Arabidopsis thaliana: one gene and its partner. The protein of the gene in region 2 interacts with the protein of the main gene of each other region in a biochemical or structural test. Each region holds a gene or a part of one and is shown on either strand. Other genes may lie near its edges.

Region 1 (4,236 bases), on a different chromosome or scaffold from region 2:
ATCGGGAAAACTGGGGTGGGAAAAAGTGCAACGGTTAATTCTATTTTTGGGGAGACTAAATCTGCTGTTGGTGCATTTGGAGTTACCACTAACTCTGCAAATTATGTTGTTGGGAATGTAGGAGGAATCCAGATAAGTATACTTGATACGCCAGGACTCTTGTCCTCTGCAACTGAGGAACAGTTTAATCAGGAAGTCCTTATGTCAATAAAGAAAAGCATGAGAAAGTTCCCAGTTGATATCACCTCTATATTGACCGTCTAGATGACACTCCAGACATCCGTTTACTTAAAATCATCACCAGTTCCCTGGGCTCGTCAATATGGAAAAATGCTATCGTGGTTCTAACTCATGCAGCTTCCGATGTTGTAGATTCTTTAAGCTACAAGGAGTTTATTTCTCAGAGATCTTCTCTTATGCATCAATCAATCAGACAAGCAGTTCCAGAGTTAAGCTGTATAGACCAGAGCAAGATGCCTAGGAATTGTTCTGGCAGAGAACAACATGAGCTTCTTCTCCGCAAACAAAAGCAGCGAATCTACATGTTCGGATTGGAGATTGAACTTGCTGATCTTATGTTGCTCAGTTAAGATCCGGTCTAAAGCCGGTTCTTTGCAAAAGCAGAATACCGATGTAGAAAAGGCCGGTGTCTTTGGCTCCCAGCTTAGCTCTTTCACTCTATTCTGTTCCTTGTGGAATGTGTTACTTAACTCAGGGCACACTTCTCATTCACATGATGATTTGGAGGAGAAGAAAAGGAAATTACTGGATTCTTACCCTGAAATTATATGGGACGAACAGAGTCAAGAATGTCTCGAGCAAGAAACACTTCTCGTGGAGAATCAAGAATCAGAAGACGTGGAGAGACAACATGAAAAAGGAACTGTACTTGGTCGTGTAAGAACCAGAAGAGGAAGACTTGGATTCCAAGCAACAAAAAGGTTCGGTATCTATCTAGATACATCTGATGTGCACGCAGGGTTTTCCATTGGAAGCCGAGACTGTAGAAGAAATGTACAAGAAGAAGGGAAGATCTTGGTGAGGATGAGAGGCTCCATGTCTGTTTTAGGTTTGGTTCCTATGTTGATATCCGTATTCACTTCTGGAAAAGATATTTAAAATTGGAATTTGCTCTTGTTGTAGAAGTTGTAACATATCAGATGTGATCGTCGTGTCTTTTGTATTCCATTGATAATACACGAAAATTAACTATATCAAATACCAATGGTGTGAGGATAAGCAACATTTCACTTGTCTCCTGATTGTCTTGTGGTCAGGTTTGTTACTTCTTCCTCTATTGGGTTGTGGAGGATTAGAATCTCTCACATGGAGATAAGATGCTTATGTATGTCTTTTGGTTGTAATCATATAATTATATAAATCATGTGTTTCATTTCTCTTGTAAAATCATGATAGTGTTCAACAACCTCGTTAATATATCTATTGATGGTAAGAAACAAATAGGCTGTTCCAAATCTACATACTTCAGTCATCAATGTGTCAGGGTTTATGCCATTAGTGAGATAAGTCGTTATACAACACAATTCGAATTGGTCTGCCTTTAATCATCAAGAGGAACAAAAAGTTAAGCCAAATTTACAAATAAGATGATTACAAATAAATGTTTGCAGATTTGAACATCCACAATAATGATTTGAATCATCCTAAGATCTAGATCTCAATACCAAACGTACATAAAAATATTTGAAATTTGAATCACACACACATGATCCCACCCAATCGAATCATAACGATAGAAACTAAAGTAAAGAGGGGGCATTTTGGACATTGTATACCTATAAGGTTGGGGTTAACAGTAACAGCGTTTCTCTTCTCGTTTTATAAACATCGCATCACTCTTCTCCTCCGTCGTCTCTCATCGCTTTTCGCTGAAATCAAAATTTCTCCAGTTTTCCGATCACTCGCAAGAAAACCCTAAAAATGGTAAATATCCGCCTCCTAATATCATTGCGCTTTTTCGATTTTGCGTTTTCGTTCACGAAACCTAGGCTCGTTTATTCGGATTTGTCGATTGCATTTAAGGATATATCTTCGGATTAGGTTTTTTTACGGTTTAGTGGGAATCTCGCATGATATTCTTATGGTTGTTCTGTTATTGTAGATCAATTATCGAAATGTTGAGTTTATAGTGAAATCTGGACGATTTAGAGCATCTTTTGCTGGGTTACAATAAGATTTTGCATTTGCTCGATTTTCTGTTTTCATCTGTGGATTTTGAACTTGTGAATTCGGCTTTTCAAGAACTCTAGTATCGTGAAGTCCAGGATCTGATGGGGAGATTCAGTATAAGTTAACTTTTTCGTCCTTTTTCTTACTTAGAAATGTTCATGTATCGAGTTTGCTGTGTGTAATGCTAGTAGTACTAAGAAAGTTCAGATAGAAATATTCTCAATGGGCAATAGTTCATGCTTGTTTCTTTCCTTGTAACAATTTTTTTTCGTTAGTATAAAGCTTCAATTTCTTGTCCTGATGATTGTTATATTTACTGTGTCTTTGAGTTTCTTCTTACAGTTTTTTTTTTCTTTTGCTGACAGGATGGTCATGATTCTGAGGATACTAAGCAGAGCACTGCTGATATGACTGCTTTTGTGAGTATTCTCGTTCTCTTTGTTTGGTATTTTTGTGACTTTGAGACAATTTCACTTGGTTTATCACTGAATCCTTGAATTTTTATATGCAGGTCCAAAATCTTCTCCAGCAGATGGTAGGTTTTTCAGCTTTTATGTCTTCGTAGGCCTTGGAATTATACCTTCAATAGGTAGATTTTGATTAAATTTGGTCACATTTGTGTGTTTCAGCAAACCAGGTTCCAGACAATGTCGGACTCCATCATCACAAAGAATATCCTTATATCAATCTGTGGTTTTACTTGAGTGTTGCTTGAAGTAGAATATATGAAATGTTTCCCTCCTAGAACCAGTAATGATGATTGATTATTTGTGTCTTCAAGGAAAGAAGTTTAGTACTAGGTATTGAGAATTATCATTAGAATCTGTCTATTTTTCTGATTAAAGTATTTCTTGAGAGTCTAAATGTCTATTCTATGGGTAGTAGCACATGGTTCTATGGTATTTTCTCTTGTTAAGTTGCTATTATATGCATGCTTGTTCTTCTGCTCGCTATATATTCTAAACAAAAGCAACTTTATCACCATGAACTGATACAAGTTTGTAATCTGTGGTAACTCTTTGATCAGCAATCTTGTGTTCATGACATTGGTTTTGATCTCCTTGACTTTGATTTTGATTTGATGGTTCACTTGATGACATGGGAGGCAGAATCAATGAGCTGGAGCAAAGCATCAATGATCTAAGAGCCGAGATGGGAGTAGAAGGCACTCCTCCTCCAGCCTCCAAATCAGGCGATGAACCCAAAACACCGGCTAGTTCCTCTTAAAAAGGAATGTGGTGTTCATTGACATGTCCGAAGGAAAAAGAAAAACTATGAAATATGTTAAGAGCAGGCAGTATTACTTTTAAAATTCCTGTTTTAAGAAACGAGTTTGTTGTTTATTAAAGTTCATCAAATAGATTGATGATGTGGTGCATTACATTATTCTCCACCTATGAATTGCATTTCTATTTTGGTCTTGAGAGAACTAAGAAGTCTTCTTATGCTCCTATAATTCATATTACTGTCGATACTTAAACGCAACTTATCAGGGGGAATAGACAAACCAAGTTCATTGTTCCATTTTTGGGTTTGATTCCGGTTTTATTTTTTCAGATTTTGAATTTAGAAAAGGTTAAAGTATAGGAGCCATAGTTAGACTGATCGATTTATCAAAATCGAATCTCATAGCTGTATTAGGCTTTGATTATTTCGCATTTGTGTTTACATGAAAAAGGTCGGTAGAAATTTTTTAACAGTCTATTTTTGCCCAATGTGAATATATTTTCAAAGAGGATATGTTTAGCCTGCGTTTACAACTAAAAACAAAAGTTGTTTAAAATGTTGAAAATTGCAAGGTTTCAAAGAAACACACTAGATAGAAAAGTAGTCACAAGACTATCATTATCGAATAAATCAATAAACAACTGGTGATGAGTTGGTTTATGCTTGTCATGAGGTATGAGTTTGCGGTCCAAAACCCCTTTTCTCCAAAACTTTGGTTTTTATTTCTCTGTGACAAAGCCCCTTGAGGACCCCGGAGGAGCAAATAAAGTGTATCTTCGAATATCAATGCTTTGTTATTTTGTTTTGACTATTTTTTCT
Region 2 (5,111 bases):
TAAGTAACTCCAAACAATCAGAAATTGTAAATCTCCCTGTTCGTTTTCTCTTTGCCTTTTTAAAGTCTCAGAAAAAAACTATAATGTGCACTGGCAGATGACATCAGCTCTAACCTTGACAACTCACATGCTGCAACTACACAAGCCACTGTTCAACTCAGAAAAGCAGCTAAAACTCAAAGATCAAACTCCTCTTTGGTACGGACTAAACAGACTCTCTTCTCATTTTCAGTTCTGTGATTTCATATTCTTAGCAGCTTAAGCTAAGTTTGTTGTCTTTTACTTTGTTGCAGACATGCCTACTTATTCTCATTTTTGGGATTGTTCTACTCATTGTCATCATCGTTGTCTTGGTCTAAGCATCAAACATATAACTCCAAGCTTCAATCTTCAAGCATCAAGCGAATCTATGGAAACTATACAAAGACCCATTAAAGATATATATCTAATGTACAGATTCTTTATACTCCATCTTCCCCATTCAACCAAATTGATCTTAACTTCTCATCGTGTGAATGTTTAATCAATGTATTACTCCATCATAAGGATCTTCATGATCAAAAGAAATAAACATAAGAAAATAATCTTGATTTTTTGGTCATTAACCGGTCAGTGACCAACAGATTACCGTACTAGTGAGATGATAATTGAACAAGATGAACGTTTTCACACAAAAGTATAATATAAACAACACAAAAACCGATCTCTACTAACTATTCACAAGCTTGGTGGTAAATCTTTTATGTTTCTTCTCTCTGTTTTTTTTTCATTTAAGTAAAAATGTAAAGGGTATACACACCATCTGATATATTCCTCGTTCCTTCATATCTCCTTTTGCAACCTCCCCTGAAAATCTACATTGTGAGAGACAATTGATAACTCTCAAGATATACAACAATGCAGAGAAACATGTTTGAACTTAACGATGTTCTTACCTTTATTTCCTCTGTGCTTCTGAGGAAAGCAGTCCCATTTGTTCAGTAAGATACTTCATTTGTTGTTCATTACGGGTCCACTCGTTTGGTTCTTGTTCCAATACCAAGTCATTATTCTCCACTGATCCTGATAGAATATCGTCTGTATCTGCAATCGCTGGGAGTTCAACAGAAAAGAACTGTTCCCAGAATGGATCTTGGATTCCGGGCAGCTTAGGGACTCCCTCCAGTAACTCATTCATCTTGCCCTCACCTTCAGGAGAAATTGCATCGCCTTCTGACTCATCTAAAACAGCCATTATTGGATCAAAACACTCTCCACTATCTGTCTCGCATCCAACTAAATCAAATTCAGGGCTCCAAGAGTCTGCAGGTGCTGCTCCTTGAGCCGGACTTTGACCTATATTTGGCTGAACCAGACCAGCTTGAGGATGATGAGCCAAACTTGCTTCGGGTACTTGATTCGTTGCTGACTGAACTGTGTTGGGTGAAAACTCGGCCAATGTTACTCCAGAAACTCTACTTGAAGGGTTCCCATTGTCTACAGAGGTAGAACTGGGAACATCACCCAATAGGAAACTGTCAGGATTGTTTGAAACTGATTCATACCGAGGTGAGGTACTAGTATTTAAGAACTGTCGAAGCATATTTTGTGCTGCTTCGTTTATCGACGGCTGATATCTAACAATCTGGCGGTTAAGACCATTAGCCACATTGTCACCACGATTCTCCTGCTCATCTACAGGAAGTCTCCTCTTTTTGTTGCTTCCTGGAATTTGTCTGTTGCCATCATTATTATTCTGTTGTACTAACTGGTTTAAGAAACCTGGACTTTGAACAGCCTTTGCTAAAAACGACATCATTTGTTGTTGCCTTTGCTCCATCACCTGAACTTTCTGTCCCACATTCTGCAGTTGGTTTTCAGTAGCTTGCTGTTGCTGCCTTAACCTGACGAGTTCTTGCATAAGAACATTCTTATCCCGCTTAAGTCTTTCCACTTCTTCTTCTATTCCAAACTTCCCCACCTCGACACAAGCACCAACAGATGAGCTCTGAACTTGAGTTTGTTGCTGATTCTGCTGCACATGCGAAGGTTTTCTCCTGACAATACTCTTCAGTAGTTGTTTTCGGCCTCTAAGAAATCCTTCATTTGCAAATTCCCATCGGTCAGGATCAACTTTTCTGAAACCCTGGACATCAGAATACAGAGAGGCTATCATAAATATCGAAATTCAAATTGAAGAACTGAAACGATGTTGCTTGAATTTAGGGGAAGAAGAAAAGCCAACATAGCGCAATTGTACAAAAATGTATAAACATTAAACAGGTAGACTAGAAAACAGACCAGATTAGTTATATGTTCTAGTTATAGCAAAGTTTGAGAAGTAAACAAATTCTCCACACTATGCTTGGGTGTAGCACAAAATCACCATGTTATAAGGAAAGTAATAGTTCTTAGTTTATCAAAAAAGTGTACCTGGACGGAAATATACAAATGAAAACAAAGCTAATGTTCAGACAACTGATAGACATTCTGTTTTGTTAGAGCTACAAGGCAGAAAACAATTGAGGAAACAATCTTCAGACATATGTGACAGTGCGCCTGCAAAGTTCTGTGGAATCTTTTGATGAGTAGACAGATTGATATGGCTTTAAAAATAATCCAACACATCCATGGATCTAGTCACTAAGACTAGAACCCTTCAACATTTCACGATGTTCCCCAAATTGTACCACGAAAAAACGATCAATTTCTAGAAAAATAAATTGACAATAACACAAAAAATGATGCTTACATAAGTATTTAACTGTCTGACGAAGCTGGAGAAGTTGTTGTGCTTGAAATACTTGGGCAAGAGCACCTTCGAGAACTCCGGGGCACTCCAGACGACGAAGCTGTTGTTCCCGCTGCTCCACGAAACGACCTCATTGGTCAACGGATCATCAACCATGTCGTAGGTTTTACTCAAGAAAGGCGGTACGGAGTTCACCGGCGGTGGTATTGACGGTGTATTCGAGTTCGGCGATGGTACGGATTCGGGAACCGATTCCATAACTTCGAATGAAAAATCAAGAGTTAGTTCACTAAAGTTGATCGATTGATTGATCCTGGAAGTTTCTTCTGTTCTTCTCAAGCTCAAATATCTTTTACAGAGACAGAGACTCTCTCAAGTGTTGAAGACCCAATCTTTGATCTTTTCCCTTAAAGCTGAAGAAAAGCAGGCATGGCCATTTCGGTTCAATTCAGTTCGGTTTTGTACGATTAGTTTTGGTAGACACTCTGACTGTCACCTAAATTAAACGGTTTCATTTCGTGTATTTTGATTTGGTTCGGATTAATTCGGTTTAAAAGTACACGTAGCATCGATAGCAGCTTTTTCTGTTTTTCTCGGTGAGTTTCATACGTGGCATAATATACACCGTTAAAATTTAATAAGATTATCTCAGATATTTATCTATACGACGCACGATTATATCATTTAATTATGTATATTAAAAGCCACGTAAGACACAGAGAAAACTTTCCTGGCTCTTATCTCTCTCTCTCTTATACTGACACTGACACTCGTTAAATCCTGGAAAGTAATTTGAAGTGAAGCGACGAAACACAAACAAAAGCGATGAATCTGGTCGCTATTCATCGCGTTTCCTTCGAATGCGTTTCGCGTTTCTCTTTGAAACATAGAGAATCAGGCGATGGATTCTCCGGCTGTCGGATTGTAAATTCGCGTGGACGGAATCGGCCGATTCGGCGGTTGCATGCGGTGACAGCGAGTTTGATAACCAGTGCTGACTCGTTCGAGGTAGGGCGGCTTATCGGAAGCTACGGATTCATGAATGTAACTAGGTACTCTCACTGGATTTTTGATTTCTCTCTTTATCTGGAGCTTCTGTGTTGTTTCTACGTCTTCGTGTAACGAAATCTCTAATTTTATATCGAAATTGTTTGTGTATGTGTGAATCTGTAGTTGCAACAGGTTTATGCACTCATTGCAATGTATACGTGAGCTTGACAATTATTCGAAGGGTTTAACAAAAAAATCACTTTTGTTAGTGTATTTGAATTGGGATACATTGACCTTTCTTATGATTATTGTGCATCTTTAGCTAGATTATGCTACGTTTGTTGGTCTAGTTTTACTCTTTTATCTGCCGCTGTGTTCTACTTCGTTTACTTAGCTTTTCACCACTTCTATACTCCTAGTTATACAGGGCTGCAGTCAGGATCTGACTTTGAATATACGTCTGATGATATTGGGCGATTAAAATCTCAAGATATTGGAGAAGGTGCCGTTAAGATCAGGTGCACTTTTGGCTTTGTGTAGACAATTTATTAGATGGTAATATATTTGGTCAAGTTAAAAATGTATTAGCCACAGCAGTTTGTATGCAGACTATATCAAGGACGAATATCTCAGGGTCCATTTCGAGGAACGCCTGTCGTCTTTAAGGTGATTCTGCATGTTTTGTCAATCTTGTTTCTTCTTCTCAGCCAATATTGTTCTTTTCCTGAAGGCAGTTTCCATTTTTCATGAGTCTCTCTACATTATCTGGGCATATTTTGTTCAGCTGTGCGAGTCCTCCTTACATTATTAGAATCATCAAAACTTCATTTGGATATTTTATTGCTTTGCATTCATTCTTTCCCTCACATACTTGTCTCTGTAAAGGTCTACCCCGGACAGCGTGCTGGTGGAGTTGAGGCTGACATGATGGCAGCAAACGAGCTTAATGCACACTCTTTTCTCCAGGTTGGATAAATAGCCATGCAAAAATGCTAAATAGATTCTTAGCAATTACATCTCCTTGGTGGCTAATAGTGAAATCAACTTGTTATTCTGCTTGTCTATACAGAGCAAAAGCCTGCCTGCTAATCTGCTTCTACTTGTTGGTGGCTTTGAGACACAACTTGGGGAACAGGTCAGGCTTACAATATGTGGCACTGTAGTTTGTTGAATCTAAGCTGCACTAGTTTGTGGATATTTTGGCATACCTTATGGAACATAGGCTGAGTCAATTCATTCTTACAGTGGCTGGCTTTTCGTGATGGTGGGAAAGATAGTGCAGCTGACTACGCGCAAACTGCGAGTGAAAAAACAACCAGAGCTCGCTCCCAAGGAGTATGGAATCCTTATGAAAAAGAGCAGATGATAAAACGAAGGAGAAACTTTGTTA

What was found. The genes of interacting proteins can lie anywhere in the genome.
Region 1: the proteins of HSF3 (region 2) and HSBP form a complex in vitro, tested with the Arabidopsis thaliana proteins (one study listed by BioGRID).

What each region holds. Positions count from the first base shown.
Region 1 is NC_003075.7:8,986,045-8,990,280, reverse strand, and holds HSBP (heat shock factor binding protein), read left to right. Parts: upstream 1-1,619; 5' UTR 1,620-1,941; coding exon 1,942-1,944; intron 1,945-2,555; coding exon 2,556-2,609; intron 2,610-2,701; coding exon 2,702-2,725; intron 2,726-2,819; coding exon 2,820-2,862; intron 2,863-3,280; coding exon 3,281-3,417; 3' UTR 3,418-3,683; downstream 3,684-4,236. Other genes in the region: AT4G15810 (P-loop containing nucleoside triphosphate hydrolases superfamily protein), read left to right, coding at 1-203, 468-1,119. UniProt on the Arabidopsis thaliana protein: Negative regulator of the heat shock (HS) response. Affects negatively HSFA1B DNA-binding capacity in vitro. Involved in acquired thermotolerance but not basal thermotolerance. Crucial for seed development, after fertilization and during embryogenesis.
Region 2 is NC_003076.8:5,528,324-5,533,434, reverse strand, and holds HSF3 (heat shock factor 3), read right to left. Parts: upstream 3,241-5,111; 5' UTR 2,990-3,240; coding exon 2,732-2,989; intron 2,126-2,731; coding exon 938-2,125; 3' UTR 936-937; intron 855-935; exon of another isoform or gene 847-854; 3' UTR 546-846; downstream 1-545. Other genes in the region: SYP21 (syntaxin of plants 21), read left to right, coding at 98-198, 294-359; AT5G16810 (Protein kinase superfamily protein), read left to right, coding at 3,557-3,783, 4,141-4,239, 4,330-4,387, 4,607-4,687, 4,791-4,856, 4,967-5,111. UniProt on the Arabidopsis thaliana protein: Transcriptional activator that specifically binds DNA sequence 5'-AGAAnnTTCT-3' known as heat shock promoter elements (HSE).